4 linked regions of the Nothobranchius furzeri genome follow. The protein of the gene in region 4 interacts with the protein of the main gene of each other region in a pairwise test. Links are inferred from orthologs where the notes say so. Each region holds a gene or a part of one and is shown on either strand. Other genes may lie near its edges.

The links.
Region 1: the proteins of ubash3ba (region 4) and dazap2 interact in binary tests that used the Homo sapiens proteins (3 or more experiments, as listed by UniProt). The two-hybrid records come from large-scale screens. The link is inferred for Nothobranchius furzeri from reciprocal best matches to the Homo sapiens genes UBASH3B and DAZAP2.
Region 2: the proteins of ubash3ba (region 4) and fam168a interact in binary tests that used the Homo sapiens proteins (3 or more experiments, as listed by UniProt). The two-hybrid records come from large-scale screens. The link is inferred for Nothobranchius furzeri from reciprocal best matches to the Homo sapiens genes UBASH3B and FAM168A.
Region 3: the proteins of ubash3ba (region 4) and double C2-like domain-containing protein alpha interact in binary tests that used the Homo sapiens proteins (3 or more experiments, as listed by UniProt). The link is inferred for Nothobranchius furzeri from reciprocal best matches to the Homo sapiens genes UBASH3B and DOC2A.

What each region holds. Positions count from the first base shown.
Region 1 is NC_091755.1:37,293,277-37,299,361, forward strand, and holds the start of dazap2 (DAZ-associated protein 2), read right to left. Parts: upstream 3,553-6,085; 5' UTR 3,402-3,552; coding exon 3,389-3,401; intron 1,479-3,388; coding exon 1,360-1,478; intron 1,266-1,359; coding exon 1,017-1,265; intron 935-1,016; coding exon 806-934; 3' UTR 1-805. UniProt on the Homo sapiens protein: In unstressed cells, promotes SIAH1-mediated polyubiquitination and degradation of the serine/threonine-protein kinase HIPK2, probably by acting as a loading factor that potentiates complex formation between HIPK2 and ubiquitin ligase SIAH1.
Region 2 is NC_091753.1:35,546,112-35,552,172, reverse strand, and holds the start of fam168a (protein FAM168A), read right to left. Parts: upstream 3,793-6,061; 5' UTR 3,599-3,792; intron 3,465-3,598; exon of another isoform or gene 3,344-3,464; intron 1-3,343. Other genes in the region: kbtbd3 (kelch repeat and BTB domain-containing protein 3), read left to right, coding at 5,569-5,846, 5,927-6,061.
Region 3 is NC_091756.1:34,725,271-34,731,326, forward strand, and holds the start of double C2-like domain-containing protein alpha, read right to left. Parts: upstream 3,822-6,056; 5' UTR 2,941-3,821; coding exon 2,900-2,940; intron 1-2,899. UniProt on the Homo sapiens protein: Calcium sensor which most probably regulates fusion of vesicles with membranes. Binds calcium and phospholipids. May be involved in calcium dependent neurotransmitter release through the interaction with UNC13A.
Region 4 is NC_091750.1:47,702,244-47,708,267, forward strand, and holds the start of ubash3ba (ubiquitin-associated and SH3 domain-containing protein B), read right to left. Parts: upstream 4,154-6,024; 5' UTR 3,951-4,153; coding exon 3,823-3,950; intron 1-3,822. Other genes in the region: f11r.1 (F11 receptor, tandem duplicate 1), read right to left, coding at 6,001-6,024. UniProt on the Homo sapiens protein: Interferes with CBL-mediated down-regulation and degradation of receptor-type tyrosine kinases. Promotes accumulation of activated target receptors, such as T-cell receptors and EGFR, on the cell surface.

The sequences.
Region 1 (6,085 bases), on a different chromosome or scaffold from region 4:
AGGTACAGTAAACCACTTAAGATATTGCATTAAATCTATTAAACTTGTTTTCTTTTGCTTTAAATTGAATTTATTTAATTTACAGCTGATTCAAACGGAACGGTCTCTCAGACCGTTCACTGTGCAACAAATTTGATGTGGTTTTCTTTTTGACACTGTGCAAAAGACAAGACAGTTCTAACTAAAAGCATCAAGGATGCCAAATCTTTTGTTTTTTTCTTATAGAGCTGAGATGTGGCGTCTCATGACCATCCTACTGGTATTTACACATTTAACTATTGCACACCGATTAATTCAACTACACTAAATATTTAAAAAAAGACAGGTGGAGAGTTCTTTTTATTTGACTGCAACTTTGCGTTTCACTTTCACCATAAAGCAGCTAAACTAGGTAATGCAGGTCTGGTGTTCTGACTCTGTGGGTTTTACAGGAAGAAGAGGACATCTCAGTGCCATTTGTGGCCATTTGATCAAAGAAGAACGGGTCTCCTGAACAGATGCCTGAAAGAAGTCCAATCTGGAATGATTTAAGAGATTCGGTCAAATGAAAGATTACAGGAAGTATCACAACATTTAAAATCAGCGTTTTGTCCTCTCCAAGCGGCGACGGTCATCTCTAGGTCAGAAGTGGAGTACTGTACCTTTCACAAAGGGCTCTAAAATATTACATTCCATTAGGTGATATCAGTATTGTGGCATGGCCAAGCAGCCTGAAGAGGAAGGCGTATGGAGTAAGGGAGGGTCTGGGGAATCATCTGGGACGGGGGTACGGTTTAGGCATAAACAAGGAGGGGAGTAGCTGCTGTTACCAGATGGTATAACCTCCACTGGATCCGCCCAGGAAGAAGTTGTTCTTGCGCTGTGTCATGACAACATTGGCACCCTGCATGGCAGCCAGCTGAGCTGCATTAGGGGGGTGTCCAGGGGGTGGGGGCTAGAGAAGAGGAGAAACGAGCTCAGTGGCAGGTTAAGAGTTACAAAGGCCTTGGCTACAGGTTAAGTCACTCCGTACTCACTGGGATGGAAACACTGCTGCCAGCTGTGAAACGAGCTCCAGCATCAAAGCCACCGTCCACCATCACTGTTGAACCAGGGGGGTAAACAGCTCCCATGTGATAGTAAGCCATGGGAACGTTCTGGCCCACCGGACCAACGGGCATGTGTGGCTGCATGGGCATGTACACCTGAGCACCAGGGTAGGGAGAGGACATCTGAGGCACCTGACCAGGCACCTGAGGTGGAAGCACGTATCTGGGCTGGTATATCTGCATACAAAGACACGAGAAACAGATTTAATTGAAGAATACTAAAAAAAAAAAAAAAGCTAATCTAGGCTTGACCTGTAGATGCAAGCGTTACCTCAGAATATGCAGGTGGTGTGTCTGAGTATGGAGGTGCCTGAGGAGACATTTGCATAGCAGGAGGGTATACAGGTGCAGAGCTCTGCTGAGGGTACACAGCCTGCTGTGGGTATGAGCCTGCAAAACAACATTTCACTTTTAAACACGCACAGCTGAAGAATTATGGGATGAGAACCGTTTCATTATTACTAGGGATGTAAGAAAATATCGATATGGCAATATATCGTGATATTTTTCGCAGCAATATTATATCGATATTCAAAAGCTGTGTATCAGAAATATCGATATGGCAATATATCGCGATATTTTTCCAGCAATATTATATCGATATTCAAAAGCCGCATATAGGAAATATCGATATGGCAATATATCGTGATATTTTTCCCTGTGATTATTACATTGATATTCAAAAGCCGTGTATCTAATTCTTGAAAGAATGCAAACATGCAAACATTTGTGTATTTTCTTTTCGTTTTGTGCAATTCAATCGCCACCCGCTAGTTGGCAGCAGTGTGCAACGGGTTTTGTTTCCACCATTGAACTGTAAATCCCTCCATCATGGTTCAGATACCTCATGTTAAACATGTTACATATCAGTTTTGACTGTTTATTGAACATGCTTATAATAAATTCAGTAAAAAATAGCTTGTAACGTCTGACTGAATGTATCGCAATATATCAGGATACATCGTATCGTCTCCCCTGTATCGTGATATGTATCGTATCGCCAGAATTACAAAAATACACATCCCTGATTATTACTAATGACTTTGACTACTAACATTAAGCTGCAAGTACTTCTTCTCAATCATCATCATCATCATAAATAAACTGATGCTGCTTCTGAGTGGAGATGGGAGGGAGCTGATTACATTTACAGCTAAATACATGAAATTATTACTGATGTGAACGCAACTACTGAGTGGTACACGTTACAGAAAATCCCAATGTCTTGTATACTGAAGCTAACGTTGGTCTTTTTCGGGTACAACTTTGAACGTTTCTACATTTTACAGACAAAAGAACAAAAACCAGATTTTGACACAAAGTGTCTTTAGGTCCAACATTTGGCGGCAGTAAAAGAAAGAACAATGTTTAAATATTGATGGAAACATGTTATTTAATATCATCAGGGGGGATTTATTTAAGCAACTGAAACTGTTGTGCATAATTATAACAAACTATGTGATGACTGTAGCAAGTCTGTCACTGCCAAGAGAGTTTCTAGTTTTGTTTTGAGTGCATTGTATGGCAAACAATACCAGGAAACTAGACATAATCACTTTTCTCAGCCCAGACAGTATAAGCAAAGGGTAAAAATGTATTACTTGTAAAAACACAAGTGAACGGATTAGAAATTAATAAAATGTAAATGGAAGATTTTATTATAAAGCCGAATCTGATTAACACAACGCACAAAAGCCTGGTGGTTAGTAAACAAATGTGAATTTTACATTTTCTTTGTCTTTCCAACATGACAAATCGACCATCGCGCATTACAGTTTGAATAAAATGTCTGCTTCTATTTTAGCTTTAGTGAAACAATTAATTCAGTAAGAAAAATATCATGAAATGTCATTAGCATTAGCCACGAACAAAGATGTCATGCTACAAAAAGACAATCTAAGCTCAAATAAGACAAACAAAAGAAGAAATAAACAACCTGGTGCATTTTTGCGCCGAACAGGTCTAAAAACATAAATGTAACCGGGATGTTCTTTGTTAACAAGAACTCCCCCCCTCCCCAACAAAAACAGGAAAGCCATGTCAGATTTGCTTTTATAATCACGTTAGCTTGCTGGAACACATCTGACCGGCCCGTTTTGGTCAAATAACAAAATGTGAAACTAAATTCGGACATCCGACGTTAGCAATATCCAAGACAGCTTGGTTCGGAGTGTGCGTCAGTTTATTGTTATGTACGTAGCTTCAGTTGGCCACAACGCGAGCTCCTCGTCTTTCCTTACAACGCCAACGTCAAGTAACGAGTAGCTAGCTGGAAAATGAAACACACGACGGAGAAATACCTTTGTTATTCATTGTTGTGGACTGATTCGGAGGCTGAGGAACATCAGATTAAACGGCGCTTTGTGTATCTTGTCTCGGCCTTATAATAGCTTACGGCTTGACACTTCCTTGTTTCTCAGCTTCTTGTTGTTGTGGAAGTGGTTACGTCACCCGTTCTTTATCTGCGGTCGGACGCACGCTCAGTTTCACCTGCACGCGCGCGCCCCCTTCTGGAGGAAATGAGATTTGTTTTTAAAGGAATATGAAAAGCACAAAAAACCCTAAATATTAGCTAAACGTAAAATGAAATTAATACTTAAGTGCGTACTACAATCAGTGTTGGGCAAGTTACTTCAATACTGTAATGCATTATCTATTACTTGTTACCCTCATTTTAAAGTAATTCATTACATTACAATATTACTGATTTTAAAATGTAAGGCATTAAACTACTTTTGAACTACTTTAAGTTACTTTCAACAATACAACTTCAATATGAATCTGGTAATCTGACGCTCAGTGAGCTCATGACATATATGTGGAAAGTGATGTGGTGTCTGAGCAAGCCCCCACAATGCAAGAGCAAGTCTATGGAAACCCATTGTCCATATATGTATGTCGATGTGTCTGAGCTAGCTAGGGTTGCTGTTAAAAACAGTCAGATATAATAACAGTGCTTTAAAATTATTGTTTATTAAATAAAAGCAACAACAATCTGTACTCTCAGCACGCTGCCATCTTATATTAACTGAGCATGGTGGGGGCTCCAAGCCTATATTTGCCTTGGTCCCCAAATGCCTTGATATGGCCCTGGATGTGGGACTGACTTCTGGGGTGATCTGATTCTATCACATGTATAAATATTAAATGCTTATATATTATTGCTTTTCACTGGTAAAAATGTGTATTGGGGATAAATCTACCTACTTTTTTCTTTTGAAGCACTTTGTTTTGTTTTCTTGATTTTATTTGAATAATTTCCTGCCCTTTTTCTCTCTAACCTTCCTGCATGCTGCATGTTTTCTCCGTCTTCCAGAAAAACTGTTCCCTAAATTTCTTACTTTCTAACTAATCAGCCAAAGGGATCTACCAAACCCACAAAAAAATAAAATAAACATTTTTTTAAAAAAAGCTTAATATTCGTTGCGCTCCAGCAGCAATAAGTTGAAATCACCGGGGCACAGATTATGAAGTCAGCTGAAAAGTACATGAAGTACCAGAGAATATGGACTGATATAAACGATCGCACACGAATTACTTTGTTTTGGTCAGAGGCGTGTCCAGGGAGTGGCCTGGGGTAGCACATGCCACCCTTGGAATCTGATTGGCCACCCCAGGTGCCATCACACTAATTTACCTTTAAATAGGCTTTTCATTGTCCACAAAAGGCTTGGGGGTAAAACAAAAAAAGCATAACCATTGGTGCCACCCATGCACAAAGTTGTCCCTCAACTGGGCCACCCCATTTTAAAAGATATGGACACGCCACTGGTTTTGGTGGAGCGATTTTGTGAATATAACAGCGGCCGCGCGCAGGACGCAGCTGGAGTATTTGAGCCATTACCGCTGCGTCCTCTCTGCTCATAGAACGCCCGCAAAGCTGAGTCCATAAATGACGTCATATATGTAGATACTGGATCTTTTTTCAGGCTTCCCGCAATTTGAACTGATTCTGGGTTTAAAAAAGCATTGTAATTACCGCGTTACTGACAATTGTACCGAGTAAATGTTTTTCTTTCCCTGTAATGCCTTACTTTAACACATTACAGCAAAAAGCAATGCATTACAGTAATTAATTACTTTTGTACCACGTTACTCCCAACACTGACTACAATATTACGATATAGTTTTTTAATACTTGTTACTGCATGTTCATTGTTTTCAGTAGATTTTGCCTACAGCCTCATGTGGGGGTGGATGATGGTCTGCTGCTGCGAAATGCTCACTCTCAGCTGGACGTGTGAGATTCACTGTATTTTTTTATATTTCCTGTGCTATCAGTGCAACGCAGACGTGTTTGCTGAGTGAGAAACTGCTCATGGGATCAGTTCATCAACATAACAAGTTGCTGATTATCTGACGAGTCTCAGTGTGTTTAACTGAGGAGAGCTCTGATGTGGTGATCTCTGCAGTGGATGTGGATCCTGTCTTCACCTCTGTTCACCGATCTCTGGCTCTCTTTACATCTGAGAATGTTCCCAGCAGCAGGAGTTCTGGGATGATCAAGAAATATATGCCATTGCACAGCTCCCACAGTTTTCCTTTTCAGTGCTATTTATTTAGACGTAGTCACTATGATTGTCAGTATATCTAACCAGTATGTTTATTAAACTAATTTTGTGACACACACACACACACACACACACACACACACACACACACACACACACACATTAGGGCTGTCGCAATAATCGCAAGAACAATATATCACGATATTAAGAAACCCACCGCGCTGCATGACGTGCCACCGCAATTACCGCACTTGATTAAATCTCGCGACAGCGCATGCTGAGAGGTAAAGTCCGCGCTGATCGAGGAGATAGTAGGGCACTTTTTTTTATTTCTGTTAGATGTTGCAGCCAAATTTGCATTTCAAAGTTAAACCTCCTGAATGTTGTTTTTAAGTTCAGTCAGAGAATGCCGTTACTGCCCTTTGATCTGCATTCAATAAAGTGTTAAAAATGGCCATGTATTTTTTTCTAACATTTTTAAATGTG
Region 2 (6,061 bases), on a different chromosome or scaffold from region 4:
TGGCATCCTGCATGTCTTTGCTCCAGCACTTCTGATTCAGTGGTTGATTCACCTGTTCTGCAGCTCATCAGCTCTCTAGAAGCCTGTTAATCACCTGCTGATTGAAATCAGGTGTGATGACGCAGGGTTGAAACTAACATATGCTGGATAGCAACCCTCGATGGACCAGGGTTCCCCAACCCTGATCTAAGAGATTTAATAACGCACAGTTTGAATGAATCGTCACCTTTTATTTACTTACATCATTAGTGTAGAAATTTAATTAGCTGGATCTACCAGTATAAATAAAAGATATCTAATCGAATGATACAGATCTGGACAAGATAAACCGGAAGTTAGCCGAACTCTTCAGCTGCCATTTGTTTAATTCACTTGTTTGTTGCAAGCTAATCGTTATGCTATTTGAAGTGCTGAAAAGACTGTCGTCTGTAAGAGAACCATTTTCTGTCGAAACATTTTATGGCTCCAGCTTTCAATGGTCTGACGGTTTTACAGCTGCCTTGTAGACTCCATTATTCACACACAGGAGACACCCCCCACAGTATAACCAGGCAGAGGTCACCTTAGGCTGATGACGCAATCCAACGAGGACCTGTAATCATTTGAACTCTTTGAAGAGAGATGCATTCGCTTTAGCTTAGACTCGCTTTTTACTGCATCTTTAGAATAAAAAATATTTATCCTAGTTCATAACTGCCAATATCAAATTTCAGTGTGAAGATCCCAGAAAGGATGTGTTGTTGATTTTAATATACTCTCATTTGTCTAAAATTATTTTCTTTATAAAAATTAACTAGAAGATGACATTGTTTGTATTTTATGAAAATAAAGTGTTTCTAATAAATAATTGAGGAGCACATCAGACTCCCTTTCATCACCGACAACAAGCGAAGAGGTAGAAGAAAACAGAATCTAAAATGGCGTCATCAAGAGACTTAAGCCTAATTTATTCTTCCCGGTCTGAGTCGGGATGGACGCACACAACGCCATTATCTGTCCTTTCGAGGGCTCTCCAGGAGGCTTGCAAGGACGGAGTCGAGTTCTCTTTTCTAAACATTTGTCCAACGAAACGGAGAACGCAAGCCTGTGATTGGTCAGGATGCCACTGTCGTTGACAGTGCCGCCATCGCGCCCTAAAAAACATTAAGAAAACCAAAAATATTTAGTGGCAGACACAGAGAAGCTTGAAGAATGCCTCACGGAAAAATTCTAAAAATATGAACGTTTTATTCACCCATGACTGGGGGAGTGAAAAGATACGCAGCTAGCTTTTATCCGTGGACGGAAATGATGGGAAATGTGGGTTTAGAGGTGGTGAGCACATTAAGAGGTGGAGGAGGATGAGAGATAAATTTGTCCATGTTACAAAGTCTCTGAAATACAAAAAACACAATATAAACAGAATAGTAAATGCTCTATGTTGGACCAGATACATGACAGGATACCACAGAACAGCGCTGTGCCCTCTGTTGTCCTGGCGAGGAGTTGCTTTGCAACACTCCCCAGGAGATGGAGAAGTCCGAGAGCAAAACGTCTCTGTGAGTGCATGTGTCTCCCTCGTGGAGCTGACGGAGGAATATAAATTAAGCTTTAAGTCTGGTTTATATTTCTCTGTCAGCTCTGTAAAGGGAGACACACATGCATTGACAGAGACGTTTTGCTCTCTCACTTCGTCTCCTGGGGAGTGTTGCAAAGCAACTCCTCGCAAGACAACAGAGGGCATAGCGCTGTTCTGTGGCATCATGCCACCATTACACTCATATATCCGGTCCATGATGGTGTATTTACTAATGTGTTTTTATACTTCAGAGACTTTATAACACAGGCGAATTTGTCCTTCATCCTCCTCCACATCTCAAGTGGTCGCCACCTCTAAACCCACGTTCCCCATCGTTTCTGTCCATTAATAAAACATCTGCTCCACATTTCAGTCACGGGTGAATACGCGTTCATATTTTTGGATTTTTTCCCATGATGAGTTCTTCAATCTGTTCCGTGTCTGCCGCTAAATATCTTTTTACCTTTGACGGGACAATGGCGGAGCTGTTGACACATTTAAAGGAAGCGGTGTCCTGACTAATCACAAGCTAGCATTCTCCGTCACTTTTGACAGATATTTAAAAATTTGGGCATGTCTCTGTCACCCTCTGTGAGACTGTCGAGCCCTTGCACCGACTCATAATAGCGTTACGTGTCTCCTCACCTGCGCAGATGGAGAAGAATGAATGAGGCTTTAGACCTTACCAATGGATGGCCATTTGGGGTAAAAAATCCCTGGGAGTGCAACCTCCAACAAAATGACAGGCACACCAGACTTCTTTCATCACTGGCAACGAGTGAAGAGGTAAATGTGTAAAACAATGTTAATGAATGAATAAAGTTTTGTAACTGTTACATATCAGTGAATGTATTATGTCCTCACTGGCTCCCATAAAAAGAAACATGGCATCTAATATGGTGTCACCCAGAGACTAAGACTTCCATGTATTTTAAGGTTATACGTTATGAAGTTGCCAATGTTTTTCTACAACTGGGCATCATTTTATTCGTTTTCAACAACATTTCGATGGATATTTGCAGAGATTACCGGTAAATACTACACATTGTCTCTTTAAGTACTACTGAGAAAAAACACCATCCCCTACAGTTTAACAATATAAACAGTAAGATTATCACGTCTTTCAAAAGACACAAGTCCTACCTGTGACTATTAGTTTTGGGATTCACAATTAAAAAAGTTAAAATATAAAAACAATCCAGTGATGCATTTTGTAAACACGTAATTACATCCAGATAAAGCAGTGTGCTGGGATGTGCGTCATGCTTCTTTCCTGTTGAACCTGACAGCATTAAAGCCAAGAGAGACAAATAAAACCCACCCAAAACACATCTTCTTTACGCCTAATAACGCAGTCTGCAGCCTTGAGGACACGGTTTACTTTGTTGTTGCTGAGTATTTACATGATATTATATCGAAGCATGGCATGCGCTGCATAACAGAGATAGCAACTGGAGCCAAAACAGCACTGGTTGGACAAAAATGGTCACACTCAAACAAGCTTAAGACACCATTTTGAAAATCCACCGATTTCTGGATAACAACTCCGAGATGCCATCTTGCCAATTAACACTAGATTGGCTGAATTTAGAGTGGCTGTTATAGCACACCTTAGCAGGAACCCGTGTCATATAAAACTACCATTAGCTTAGCCTTTGGAAGCTCGGCTGAAAAGACAACCGCTAACCCACCGCCGCATCCCTGCGTCCATCCGTACACGCTGCTCAAATCGATAATTAGCATTCTAGCCGGGGAAACGGATTAGAAAAGACAATTAACACTAACCATGGTTGAGTTTGACCGGGCGGCACGTGAAAAGCCAGGGTCGATGTTAACGACTGACCGTAAATAACTTAAAACACTCCCGATGCGCCAAGTTGTAGAATCCGCTAATTGAGCTAGCCGCTTAGCATAGCATAGCCCGCTAGTTCCTCACGGAGGACAATTGAAGGGAAAAAAACAGACAAAAAAACCGAACAACTTAAAAAGTAGAAACATGGACGTTCCTTCCGTCCGCAATAAAAAGCGTGTTAGACTCACCAAAACCACCCGGTCGAACAGAAAAAGACTCCCCCTGGTGTGTACGTGCACTCTCCCGTGGTTCTGCTCAGCTTCGGCTTGGTGCGGACTGGCTCTGCTACAGCAGCGTTTTGTCGGGCCAGAGGCGGCTGGGAAGACAGCTTTCAACCGGAGAGACGGCCACCGTGTGGGGGATGGGGGATGCACTGCCGCCGGGAGGGAGAGAAGGAGGGAGGGATGCAGGGATGCAAGCAGAGGTGGGGGCATGACCCACCGATACATGTAAAGTGGAAGGTGTCTAATAATAGAAAGGAAATAGATTTGTATTATTCACAATTACAATTTGAACAGCAGTTCTTTGTTTTATGGGAATGGCATCCGGATATATCCATCCTTTAATCATTCCTATAGAATAGGTTGGTTTACTGATGAAAAATGATCAAGATAAAGACTTTATGATTCCTTTTTAAAAAAATCACATTAATTTATTATTATTATTATTATTACATATTCAGATCACGTTGACTGTAGATCAGTATGTATTCATATTTCAGACCAGAAGAATCGTGTTATTTTGTCATAAACTGCGCGTGGTGGTTAAATTAAACTGCAGGATATGTGGAAGTTCATGTTCACCAATACAGATTTTTTTTCTTCTGTTTTATTCACTCTTCATTTCGGTCCCATGCTTTATCCGTTGCTTTCTCCACAGTGAAACAGCACCACCAAGTGGCCATGAATGCACCAGCATGCACCACTTGATGGTTATGATGCATTTAAGGGTAATAGTGAACTCGGAAGATCCAGCATGGGAATTTAGGATTTCTTTAGGCATTTTTGTTAAATATATACCTACACTTATATATAATCTTAGTACTGATTTATTATTTTATTTACTCTAATAATTTTCGTTGAGAAAGTTCAAACCAGAAAATGTAAATTATGAATTTTATAACAGTGATGGTTAAGACCTCCTGTGACCCTTCATCCTCACATAAAGTCGTTTTATTCAAGGACACTTGCTTTTATTTAAATTATTTTTATTTAGTTTTATATAAACTTAAAATATTGTAAAAACTGTCTTTATTTTAGCCTATGTTTATGAGGTCCCAACTAATCCCCAAAAATGCATTATTGCCGTATACACAGGTGCAATTACTTATGCAATTATTATAGATTAGTTAAAAGTGCAAAAAGTCTAGGTGTTTCAGTTAGCTAGCCCATTTTGAGTCTGCAGAATGGTTTTAGCATCATTTCTCTAAAAAATACAAAAGAAAAGATGTCTGACATCGCTTGGATGCTGACCTAGGTCGGACTTCACTATAGGCTAATGTTTCAACCGTATATATGTCGATGGTTTAGGTTTTATCATACGCTCTCATAAAAAGAGAACTACAGTTCCCAGGCGCCTTTGCGCTCCCGTCCCTCAAGCTGCACACTAGCATACAGCTAGACCGTTGTAGCTATGACAAGTGTGTTATAATTGTCGCTTGAACAAAATAAGTTTCAATTTAAATTATGTAAGAAGCCAAAGACCTGACAAGAAAAAACCCAAAACAAAAAGCTGCGCGAGTTATCGCGTTATTTTACGTTTCCGGAGGTTAGAACGAAACGTGACAGGAGCTATCCGAGGTGCTGAACCCGTGAGTATCTCTTCTCGTTCCACATTGCTTTGTTGAATAGTTTCAAGTGTATTACAGTCTCATATTTGAGATATGAAAACACGACATAAGTGTAACAAATTTAACTTGAGCCGCAAGTGAGCTAAACACCCATATATTGGTTTTAGGGTTAAAATAGAGACAAGAGTAAATGATAGGGCTGCTGAAGTAATTTGTTCTTAGCGTGCACACACTGTTTATTTTAGTTATTAGAATAGATTATTGTTTATTTTTAGTGGTTTTTTTATTGCAAATACAAAACATATTTATTTGTTTTGTGCAACCATAATCATAATCGTTATTGTTATTATTATTTTAGGTTTTGGCAATATGGATGAGTATCCAGAGTCACTTGCCAGTTTGACTACCTCCCACAACCCCAGCAGCTCCAGCCCTCCCAGAGGTCAAACTGTTAGTGCACCACAGGACAACGGGCTCCCAGAGAGACGGACACTGCTTCGTGTGTCAGAGACCCATGGACTGCAGCTTCTGTGTGTGCTCAGGTCCTTCAGAGAACGAGGCTTGTTGTTTGATTTCATCATCAGGGTACAGGAACAAAGTTTCCCCTGTCATCGCTGTGTTCTTGCAGCATGCAGTGATTTCTTTAGGTAGCCTGCCTACCTGTCTTTCTGCCTGTCTGTCTGTCTGTCTGTCTATACAGTCTAATTCATGTAATTGCTGTGCTTAGGGCCATGTTTGAGGTAGATATGCGAGAGTGTGGTGATGGATCAGTAACTCTGCATCAGTGTCCAGTGGCTGTGGCTTCTTTCCTGGACTTTGCCTACTCTGGAGAGACTCTCATCAATGATGGGAATGTGGACAT
Region 3 (6,056 bases), on a different chromosome or scaffold from region 4:
GAAACTCATTTTAGCTGCTTGTATCTGCAATCTCGTTTTTTTTTTTTTTTCGGTCACTAGCCAAAGCTCATGACTATAGGTGAGGGTAGAAACGTAGATCGACCGGTAAGTGGAGAGCTTTGCCTTCTGGCTCAGCTCTCTCTTCATCATGACAGATCGGTGCAATGCATGCATCACTGCAGATGCAGCACCAATCTGCCTGTTGATCTTACGCTCCATCTTTCCCTCACTTATGAACAAGACCCAAAGATACTTGAACTCCTCCACTTGGGGCAGGACCTCATCCCTGACCCAGAGAAGGCATTCACCATTTTCTGACTTAAGGCCGTGGTCTCAGATTTAGAGGAGTTGATTCTAATCCCAGCCGCTTCACACTCGGCTGCAAACCGCTCCAGTGAAAGCTGGAGATCACGTTCTGATGAAGCCAACAGGACCACAACATTTGCAAAAAGCAAAGACCCGATCCTTAGACCACCATAACAGATGCCCTCAACACCTTGGCTGTGCTTAGAAACCCTGTCCATAAAAGTTATGAACAGATTACACAGTGGAAAAAATTTGAAATTGGACTAAAAACTTGATTAAACATCACAAGACGCTTTTTAGGCAATAAATGGTTTAAACACTTTAAAATTATGAAATAGATTTGTTTTGTTCATTGTCTACAACAGTTTAACTACAAGGTTCATTGTCAAAAAATAATCCAGTTTGAGTCACCAATGTGAGAATATCTGGGCAGACAGCATCATCTCCTGCTCCCCATGATCAGCACCACGGACAGCGGCGCGCTGCGTTTGGTCTCCCATCCAACCTCCGTCCTGAAGGCAACCAACACAGCTGTTCCTAATCAACTGACAACTGCTGAGGCTTATAAATGCTGAGGCTACCTGATCTGTGCTGATTCCCCTGGTCATGTTGGAACACGGATAGTGAACCAGAGAGCCGTAGTGCTTTGCACATGTGTTTGATGCCATAGCCCTCAGTTAGCTTACTGGTACAGCCTTAGAGCCTCGTTAGTTAGTTCATATAGTGGATTTAACTTTAGTCGACTTCAGTTAGAAGCTTGCTGATTTTCTTCCTCCTGAGTTAATTTTAGTTGTAGTTCGGATTGTTTTATCATTGTCACCTTGTTTAAAACTTTTATCACTTAAGTTTGTTACTAGCACCCAGCTCCCCATGCAAATAAAAACCTACTGTTTACTTCTTGCACGCGTCTCCTTGTGTTACACCCTCCTTCACCTTTTTAAGACCAGATTGTAACAATAAAGTAATGAAGAGCTATTATTTAACTCGTTGTGGCTTTCTTCCTGAGCAGCTTGTACTTGGACAAACTGTTTCAAATGGATCCAACTACAAAGTTTACAACTGCCATGTTACAAGGTTATTTTAGCACAAATATTAAGCAATATCACTGATGATATTATATACAGTAAATAAATGTATAAATCATGTCATACTAAAGTTATAGTGATATTTATAGTGCATTTATTATTTCATTTATTTATTTTACTTATGTTTTATGAGGATGTAAACCGCTTGAGATGTAACATCTCATTTTCGAGCGGGTCCTCAAAGTCAACAACAAAGTAGCTAATAAGACAGCAGAGTCATTAAATAATCCCTAATTCATGATTAATAAAAAACTTTAAAAATCACTCAAAAATGCATTTAGATGAAATTGTGTAACATACTGAAGATTGTAGCGAGCTTATTACAACTAAAAGTAGCACTGATGAGTGAGATGAAGTCTAATTTGAAAATCTGAACTCAGAACTTATGTTTTATGACGCATTTTACAGAAATTGTTGTCTACAACCAAACACCTCAATGTTTCTGGAGGGGGCTGAGTGTTTGTTTCAAGATCATCATCAGATGTGAAGTCAGCCATCTGCTACAGGTGCTGCAGTGATGTTTTTATGAGGTTTTGATCCCTCAACAGTATTTTTTATTTTCTCTGAGAAAATCATCAAACAGACACAGCATAGTGAGGGTCTTCATCCTTCAGTTATCCTCAATCTAGGAAATGTGTTTTTCTGATTATTTAGTTTGTGCACTTCAGATGATCCAGATGCTTTTATTTGTTGACACATTTTGTTTCAAAGGTCAAAACCAGTAAACGGGTTTTTATCTCAGAGCCTACATTCATCAGGATGAAGTTAATGTGCCCTGACTCTGAAAGCGTTGCCTCTGACTGCTGACCTTCAGTGAAATTAAAAGCAGAGCAGGTCGTTCATCATATGTGGTCGAGTCTCATCACTGTGGTTAGAACGTACCACGGCTCATCCAGCTTTAGCTCGGCCGCCTCTGAAACGCGTCATGGCGGGCCAGCACCAGAACCAGCTTCCTCCCTTCGTCTGACTGAAAGGACTGTGACCGGCTTTTGGCTCGGGGACAAGAGACCATGAACATCCTTGCCTTTTGAAAAGCAGCAGAAGCTTTATGGCCCTTGTGAACAGCTCAGTCGATGATGTCAACATCAAATCTGCAACTTTTTGTCACAATTTAATCAGCAGTTGCAGTAATTGGCCTCATGAATCCCTTCACACCTTAACTGAATATTCAAATTTAGCAAAACAGATTTGAGAGCTGAAGAAAACAAGTGAATGAAGCTCCCTGTCATCACCAAGACCAAAAACCAGGAATGAGTTTGTAATTAATGATAATTATTAGGTAGAATGCATTAATCATCAAAGCACGCACATGCACGCACACACACACGAATGCTTGCTTGTTGAGGGCATGAGTGTTGACATAATGTGCACAGTCACTCGCCCCCCCCCCCCCCCCCCCCCCAGTTCTGACAGATGTGTCTGTGAGCTGGGGCAGCTCGAACACCAGCAGCAGCACTAGAACCACCGTGAAGCCCGTAGGCTCGGATCTCTCATGATTGAGCGCTCACCTGCTGCCAGCTGCAACATCTCTCATCGTTCCATCTATCATCCTCCTTTGTTCCAGAGGAATGCAGAAAAATAGAGACTTCACCTCTTCAGCTCATCTGTGTGTGGTGAAACACAACTTTAATCTACCTAAAGCATCCCAAATGTGACTTTAATTCCCGTGAGTTTAAATACATTCCAGCTCGTATCCCTGCAGCTATAAACACTCCTTCTGCTCTTTGACGGGTTTTACAGATTTAGGAGGAAGCTTTTAAAATATCCATCAGGAATATCTCTGTCCAACATGCAGCCTCCCCCTCCCTCCTCTTTTAGCTCCATCACTTTGAATTAGAGTCATATGACAGGCATGGTCGCTCTCCTCCTCAACCCCTACCTTTTCATCATCACCATCAGAAATTCACCTCTCTGCTTCTCCCTCTTATTTTGTCTCATTGGGTCTCCTTCCGCCTCTCTCAGATGTTTTTATTTCACCTGTAGCTGTGTGAGGACTTCTCCTACCCTCTCCTCTGCTGCTCTTGTGTTGTGCTCGTACCCCGAAGCGGACGCAGCTCACCTTTAAATAACAAGCTCCTGGATGACAGGCAGATGGTGTGGTACAGTGCTGCACAGTGAAGCCTCTCATTAGACGGTAATAGGCAGCATCGTTTATAACTAAGCACACAGTGACAGTCAGGGCATGTCAATTAGAGTCTGGATATTTTCAGGCAGGCAGGGATGAGTAAACGTCAGTGTGTGTGTGTGTGTGTGTGTGTGAGATGGCGAAGTGAAGGAGCAGGAAAAGAGAAACTAAGACAGACACGTGTTGCGCCCGTCTGCTGCAGCAGAAATAATGCTTGCGGAAGACAAGACACAAAAAGTAGATCTGAAATCACAAAAAAGTCTCATGATATGATCAAATTATGAAATAAATACACAAATTATTAATTAACGAACACAAACAGTCCAAGCCCCTTATATCTCATAATTAAAGAATGAAATGCTGTCTTACCTCAGTGGTAGAACAAGAATGAAACTCCTCATAAAAAAGGGAGGAAAAAGGGAGGAATTCCAGAGAAGGGAGATGCGGGCAACTAACAGGTGGTGAAGAGAGAAGAAGGGAGTAAAGGGAGATGGAGGGAGAAAGGCAGAATGAGCGCTCGGGGTATCATTAAAAAAACAATTGAGTGGTTAGTTCAAGTTGAGACGGAATGAAGAGCAGAGAGGAGCGCAGGAAACTGGAGGGAAAGGAGGAGGTGGGAGGGAGGGAGACGGGAGGAGGAGAGAAAGAGAGAGAAGGAGGGAGAGAGAGAGTCAGTGGGGACTTATTCCTTAACAGTTGTGAATGTGACTGATTTGCTTCGCTTCCTCCTGCAGCGTCCTTCTACCATCTCACACACACACACACACACACACACACACACACACACACACACACACACACACACACACACACACACACACACACACACACACACACACACACACACACACACACACACACACACACACACACACACACAAGAAGGTGTTTCACCGGCTTTCATGTATCCCTGAACAGGTGAATCCACCATCGACATGACTACAGGTTAAACCCTGAGGTGGCTGAGCAGCACACTGATGTACAATAAACTGATGAAATCCTAAAGGTCTCCTCAGAGGCAGAGATGTTGCTGCTGTCTGATTGCTCAACTATCGTCTGGCTGATTGTTGATTAATTGGTGTCTCAGACAGATGGAGTCATCTGTGAATTTGTGTGAAGAAACTAGTTAATTTAAACATGTTGCTGTTAGTCTGAGTTCAACCAGAGGTTTCATGGAGAAAAACCTAAACCCAAAGGGCTAAATGGTCAACTCCTAAAAATGATTTGTGGTCAATAATTACAGCTTCACCCAGCCATGCCCAGGACCTAAGGGACCAGAGTCAGGTAATTATATTTACAGCAGTGGGCGGTTCCTGACAAAAACAGTCTCCCATTTAAGTTTGACATATCTGAGAACTGGAAGCTTCCACAGTCGGAGGGATTGTGATGACAAATGCAGCTTTGTGTTTTTTCATATAGTTTCTTCCTATATTTTGTTAACTTTGAGATAAATTTAAGATAAACTTCCCAATATAGACAGTAAATTATGTCATTTCATACTGTTGTGTTACACTATCTGACCCCACAGCTTCGACGGTGTCACAAGATTTTTTTCCATCCAGTGTTGCTGTAAAAGATCTTGTGTTGATGATGGGAAAGAACAACCACTGCTCAAAGCCTTCTTCAGCACATCCCATTGCTCCTCTAATACTATACCATATTTAGAGAGAGAGGAGGGCTACTCAGAGTAGTTTCTGCTTGTTAAATAACAATAGACAGCTATAATGTATAAGCTTGACCCTCCAATACTGCAGTCAGAATTGACAAAGCTGATGAGAAGCAAAATGTCTCCAGAAAACCAAAGAAGTCTAGTTTCCTTCATTTGAACCATTTTGGAAAATAAAGCCCATCACTCCAATGGCTCATTTGGCTTGGGCTGGGTGGAGACAGCCCTCCCCTGCATGGCCAGGTTGTGTTTACATGGCCTTCTCAGGAAAGCAGACATGGCTCTGCTAAAGTGTTACGGATAAGTTCGTAGTGTCATTCCTAAGTAAGCGGGTGTGAGCAGTGTCGCTTTTAGACCCTGAAGTGAAGCACACAGCTTCCTACTCTCAGTGTAAATGCAATGTTCTAGTCTTCTTAGATCTCAGGGCTGCTTTTGGCATAGCTGATCAAAATGTTCTTGTAGAAAGGCTTGAACATGTTGTAGGGATCAAAGGAACAGTGCTAGGCTGGTTTAAATCCTACCTGTCTGATATAATTCTTTTGTAAACATACATGACACATCTTCATACACCAGGGTTATTTGTGGAGTACCACAGGGTCCAGTGCTTGGACCAATTCTTATATATATATATATATATATATATATATATATATATATATATATATATATATATATATATATATATATATGTATATGTGCTTTCAATTGGTAAAATCATTAGACCGCATGGGATAAACTTCCACTGTTATGCTGATGATACTCAGTTATATCTATCCATTAACCCTGATGAACCTAATCAGTAGGCAGATTACAGGCCTGTCTTGATATCTTGATAACATAAATAAATGGATGACTCTAAACTTTCTGCTTTTAA
Region 4 (6,024 bases):
AGGAAAACAAGTTGCAACAGTTACGGCACACACACACACACACACACACACACACACACACACACACACACACACACACACACACACAGGCTCTCTTAAACTCACAAGACACCTTGCAAGTAGCCAAAGAAGTGGAAAATCTTCTGAATATTTGATCTCATCTCAGCTAAATCTGTTGCAGCTCAGTAACAACAGGGCTTAAGAGGCCTCAGATCGAGCTGCATGCTAGGAAACAAGATCCAAGACAAAAATCGTCTGAATGCACTCGGATAAATACATGAAGGAAAGTTATTGTGGAGTTTTAAATGCTCCTCGTGTGTACAACTATAAATTATGAGGGATTTTTAGATTCAGAACACGCCCAATTGCTCTTGAGATTGCCACTGAATAATTTAATCTGACCATTTTATGAATTTTCACTTCCCAACATGAAACCTGAGAGTCAGACAAACGTTTGGAATGAGGCGAAACGGCTTCAGAGGACCATGACACGTGAGAAAGAGGATCTACACAAACACATTAAGCAAACATAAAAGTAGTTCTTCCTTTTTATATTTTATACAGCCACTGTAGGTAAAACACCTGCTTTGTGAAAAGCATGAAAAAAGCCACAGACGTCTGTTTCTCACGCCGTAAGTTCATTTGTTTGAAAAAAAATTGAGAATTATTTCACTTCCTTAAAATGTCACAACTGTTAAAAACGTGTGTTACTGTATTAAACCCAAATACTTGGATTGTTTCCACAGCCTTGGTATTTAATTCCAGTTAGCTCGGCTAAAGAATGACATTTTAAATAACACATTTACAGTATTTTAACTATTCTGGCAACAAAAATAGCCCTACATCAGCACATTTACAGCAGGACAAACCCTGTTTAATAGCGTCTTAGTGAGATTCATGCAGCACAAAAAAATACTGATTCATGAGCATGCAGAGGGTTTTAAGTGCACTGGTAAAGACAAATATGCACAATAAAAGAGGAAGGTCTAATAAATGGAAGAGGCAAGGTATAACAAGTTAAACCACGGTGATACAAGGAAGTGATTATTTTAAAATGCTTAAAGGAAGCAGCAACATGTTATCTGCTGTTATAATGACTACAAGTCCAACCCTAATAACACAACTACCTTATGTATTGTACGTATTATGTATTATGGACGTCTTACAACAGGAAATAGGTCAGAGACGCTTTAAAAGACGGACATGTGACACTTTGATCAGCCCGTTTTACTCAGAGCTGACCTGTCATAATGCTGCATCATTTCTCAGAGACCGTTACAAAGACGGCAGCGTTCATCATGATTACTTGGCTCACTTTGTGGACGAGTCATGTCCACTTCTTTTTGTATGCGTGAGGCGGTTCATGATTCACGTTCCCCCAATGTTTAAAAAAACCTCAAACACAATGAGGTCTTTGTAGCTCAAATCAATGATGGATGGCTGATTTCCCTTTTACTTCTGGTTTTATTCTCTCATATCAACATCTGCAAAAGGAGTCTGATAGCAAAACCTGAAAAGTTAAAGAGTTAGGCAGAAAGGGCCAAGATAACAGGAACTACGCATTTCAGTCTGCATTAAGGATTGCTGTAGAGTCTCTGACACTAGTCAGCGACTCGATGCAACCTGCTGGGTTCCTTATATAGGAAACTTTTTCTGATTGGCTGAATGAACTGACCTGTATTGGAATGTTTACTGTGAAGTGCCTTGAGACGACTCTTGTCGTGATTTGGCGCTATATAAATAAACCTGGATTGAATTAACTTAAAACTGCTAAACATCAATTCATGCAAACAATCCTAGACCTTCTATGAAGATGTGTTTCCTTATAGTTACACTTTATATCAAGCTGATATTTTTTTTATACATCGGCCAATATTTGCTCTTAGAAAAGCCAATTTAAAGTCAAACCCATCTGTGTGCTGTTGCACAATTTAGTTTAAATGTAATTTTACGTTCACTAATAACATCTGCGTAGTAAATACTCTAAATGCCTGGCTTTAACACTGAGCGGTGCATAAAGTGAAGATTTGACAGATAGTTAAAGTCAGAGTTCAAAAACGGATTCAGCTTCAGACATTTTGTGCACCAGCTGATGTTATTAGTGACATTTTAGCATGAAAATAAGGTGGAAAACATCTGGATATAGGCCATGAAAGTCTGCACATAAAAATCAGCAGTATATCAGCCACTGGCTGACCATGTCTCCTAAAAATCGACATTGGTATTGGTAATATACCAAACCAAAATCAGTCGACCTCTAGAACAGAATCTTTTCTATTTAGATTGCGAGAAAATCTCGAATTCTCCTAGTTTTTGTTCTAGTTTTGGTTTTCACCAGCTAGCTGCTAAACTTGTGTGTGTTAAAAACACATCCAGAGACATCCTTGAGCTTTGTGCACACCTAAATGAACACCTGAGTTGGTTTGACTTTTCATTTCCAGTTGAATCTCAGCCACAGACTTTATACTTTGTGGTTTTTAAAGCCGGATGAGAGAGCTGAAGTGTGAATTACCAAAGCCTGCATGGTTTAAATGAACTTATATAATAGATACTGCATCATGCTGGAAAAGAATAATATAATCAACATTTTCATCATTACCCTTGTTTAACAAAGGGAGGCTTAAAGTAAAAGCCTCTAACCATGGTGCTGTGAGGTTCCTGCCACAGCAAGAGAATCATTTTAGTTCTCCTTTCATATCTGGAGACAATAATGAGCCCATAGCACACACAAAAGACCTTTATGGTTAAATAGTTAGGCTTAATATTTAACGTGGGATTCATAGACAATGACACAGGGTCGTTGTGAGGACTTTAGGTAGATTCTGAGAAGAGTTAGCAAAATTAAACACATCTGTACATCACTTGTTATATATCTATTCATATTTGGCCACAGATACTGATACTAATTACTACATTTCTTTTGTGAGTTATCCAACGTGTTAGAAAGAAACCACCTTTTTTTACTAACTTTGTTGTCTTGAAAATGAATTGAGATATAGTTTGATTTATTGGATTTAAATGATTACTCTTAATTTACAACATGTTTTTTTTAAAGTAACAATAACACAGATTTAGCCTAAATGTTTAGTACATGCTAAAGAGCGAGGCGTTTAGCTAGAACCCACATGATGAATGGACACAATGTTTGTTTCATATAATTACATAATTCACAGCCTGCTGTCAGGAGCCAATGCTGCTCGTTTCCAGGCAACTTCTTCAATCAAAAATGGATGAAAATATGTACGAGAGGCTAAGCTTTTCAATGAAAAATGAGATTATAGTAGGCCTGTCTCAGTCTACACAAGGTGTAGGTGTTTTCATTGTGGTATAATCTGTACAAATGTTTACTTTATTAAATATTATCAAGCATTATCAGTCATGTTTATCATGTTGCTTACTTTTAAAACTAGAGAATATCAAACCAGCAAACTTTTTAAAAGCCCAAATAATCAAATAGTTGACACATAGGCTACTGTCAGCTTTACTGAGAAGTCCTGGTTAGGAAAATATCTGGCCTCATTTACAGTTTCATCCAAAAAGACCCAACAGAGACAGGAACATGGAGAGAAGCAGCAGAGATGGTCCTGCTGATGCTGGATTCAAAGGAAACTTGTAGACCAGGACACAAAACAAACGATGCTGCTCCTGGATCAGCTGCTGTGTGTGTGTGTGTGTGTGTGTGTGTGTGTGTGTGTGTGTGTGTGTGTGTGTGTGTGTGTGTGTGTGTGTGTGTGTGTGTGTGTGTGTGTGTGTGTGTGTGTGTGTGTGTGTGTGTGTGTGTGTGTGTGTGTGTGTGTGTGTGTGTGTGTACAGTGCACTCACGCCCTAGTCTTGGGGAAGCCCATGGACAGAAGCACGTCCAGCGTAGAGCCATGTTTGATGGTGCTCGGCCGGTTCTGGCGCTGCCTCCGCGGTGTCACTTTGGCATACAGTTCCTCTTTGGCTGCCATAACTCAAAGCCCCATCGGCATGTCAGGTCCACAGCTCCTCTGGTATACTTTCATTTATCAGCAGATTAAAAGAGAGGAGGAAGAGGGAGGAGGACGGAAACGCATATGCTATTTAACCCACAGTGACTTCGTGTTAACGGAAGCGAGTTAATATCACCAGACGCTGCGAGGAAATGAGCATGTTTTGGGTCTGAGGTGGAACGAGCTGCCTCCTGCTGCTGGCGGCTCGAGCATGAAGTCCAACCCGTCAGCAGGGGGCTCAGCCATGGGAAGTCACTTCTGCTCTCTGGGCCATGTCCCCGACAGATGCGAACATATTCCAGCTCCTGCGAGTCCACCGAAGAAAAACCAATCGACAACTTTCTCTCTACACGATGTTTTGTTTTATGAATGGACACTGGGGGAGCTGCCTGCCTGGGATGGAGCTTTTAAACGATTGCGTCCGAGCTGCGCGCGACCCCTTCAATTAAAGGGACAGTACAGTATTTGCGAGCAGACAGTAAATCTTGTTCCGACCATTTTTTACTGCGGAACTATGACTAACACAAGCTCTTCCCGATAAAACACTTGTTATAGTAAGTGCGCGAACAAGTATTAGGATTAGTTTGGGCATTTTGAGGATAAATCCTGTGTAAGGGTTGAATGGTGGAAAATGTTGCTCACACTTCCTGTTTGCGTAATAGGATGTCGATCCTATACGCATGCGCACCTTTCAGGAGGGGAAGTTGCACGCCATCACGTTACCACAGCAACGCAACACTAGCCAATACAGAAAGCTTTTAGCATATTTATTTTCTCATAGCCTACAAAATACCATAAATCATTATTTTGAACTTCAATGTCTTTAAATTGGGTTGTATTTAAAATCAAGACTCAAACTGAAATATGTTTGTGTTAATTCATAATGGTGTTAGCCATGCTAATTTATTTTTCATTTTGTATTTCAATTATAAAAAATGTGTAAATATGTGTAAGACAAGCAGCACACAAACTACAGATTGAATTTTAATGGAGACACAACATGAACTTCTGTACATCAAAATCATGCAGATGATGAAATCAATTATGTGAATTTTGAGATTGACACAAAAGACCTATTTTTATTAATGGAGTATACCCTGTTTACAAAAGAAATGACAAAAGCAGTTTTCAAATATTGTTAGTGTATTTTCACATCAGTTGAAATCATTACAACCAAATTACTTTTAAAAAAATGTGTATAAAAACATTTCTGAGTTTGGAAACTACAACTACCGAGTTCATATAAATGTCTATTCTATCTGATCCCTAAAAAACACACAACCCACGTTTTTGCACAAATATTCATGCTTTTAAATTTGTGAATTTCATTGTCTATTTAAAAAGTAAAAGATTTCATATTGCATTCAACAAGATGTTACGCAAATCAAAAAAGTGACACAATTTGTATGCACAAAATGTAAAAAAATAAAAACATTACAATATCATATAATGTTTTATCAACATCAAAAGCGCTGAGACAACCAAGTCTAATAATTTTCTAAGTGAACGCAGCTTTATTTACAAAAATAACCCTTCAATAGAACTAATTTGTACAATGCATCAGAGAAAAACGAACACCCCAACAGAGCTGAGCCACATCAGTTTAACATTTAAGCTAAACTGCAGTTATAAATATTAAAGTAAGGTTATAACTGCAGATAATGTATTTCTTGGTTGGTGCACAACTACTCGAGAAGGTATTTTAATTAGCAGCATTTGTTATATAGTCCTAGGAGGTTTTGTTCTCTCTTCTTCATAGTAAACAATTACCTTGGATATACAGAATTTAGATTAAACAAAATAATAATAACTCCATAAGTAGAAACGCACTGGGCAGCTGCTTCAGCCCAACACGACAAATGTAAAAAAACAGACTCCCTTATTTCTTATTAAAAGTATTTAATCTGCAGATTATCTGAATCAATTGTCACTCTGAAAGCACATCACTCATATGTATAGAAACAGCACTCAAAAAAACTATAAAAATCACAATAAACAGGGAAGTTCAAGTCTGTAAGCGGACTGTTGATTACACCACAAATGACGACTTCTG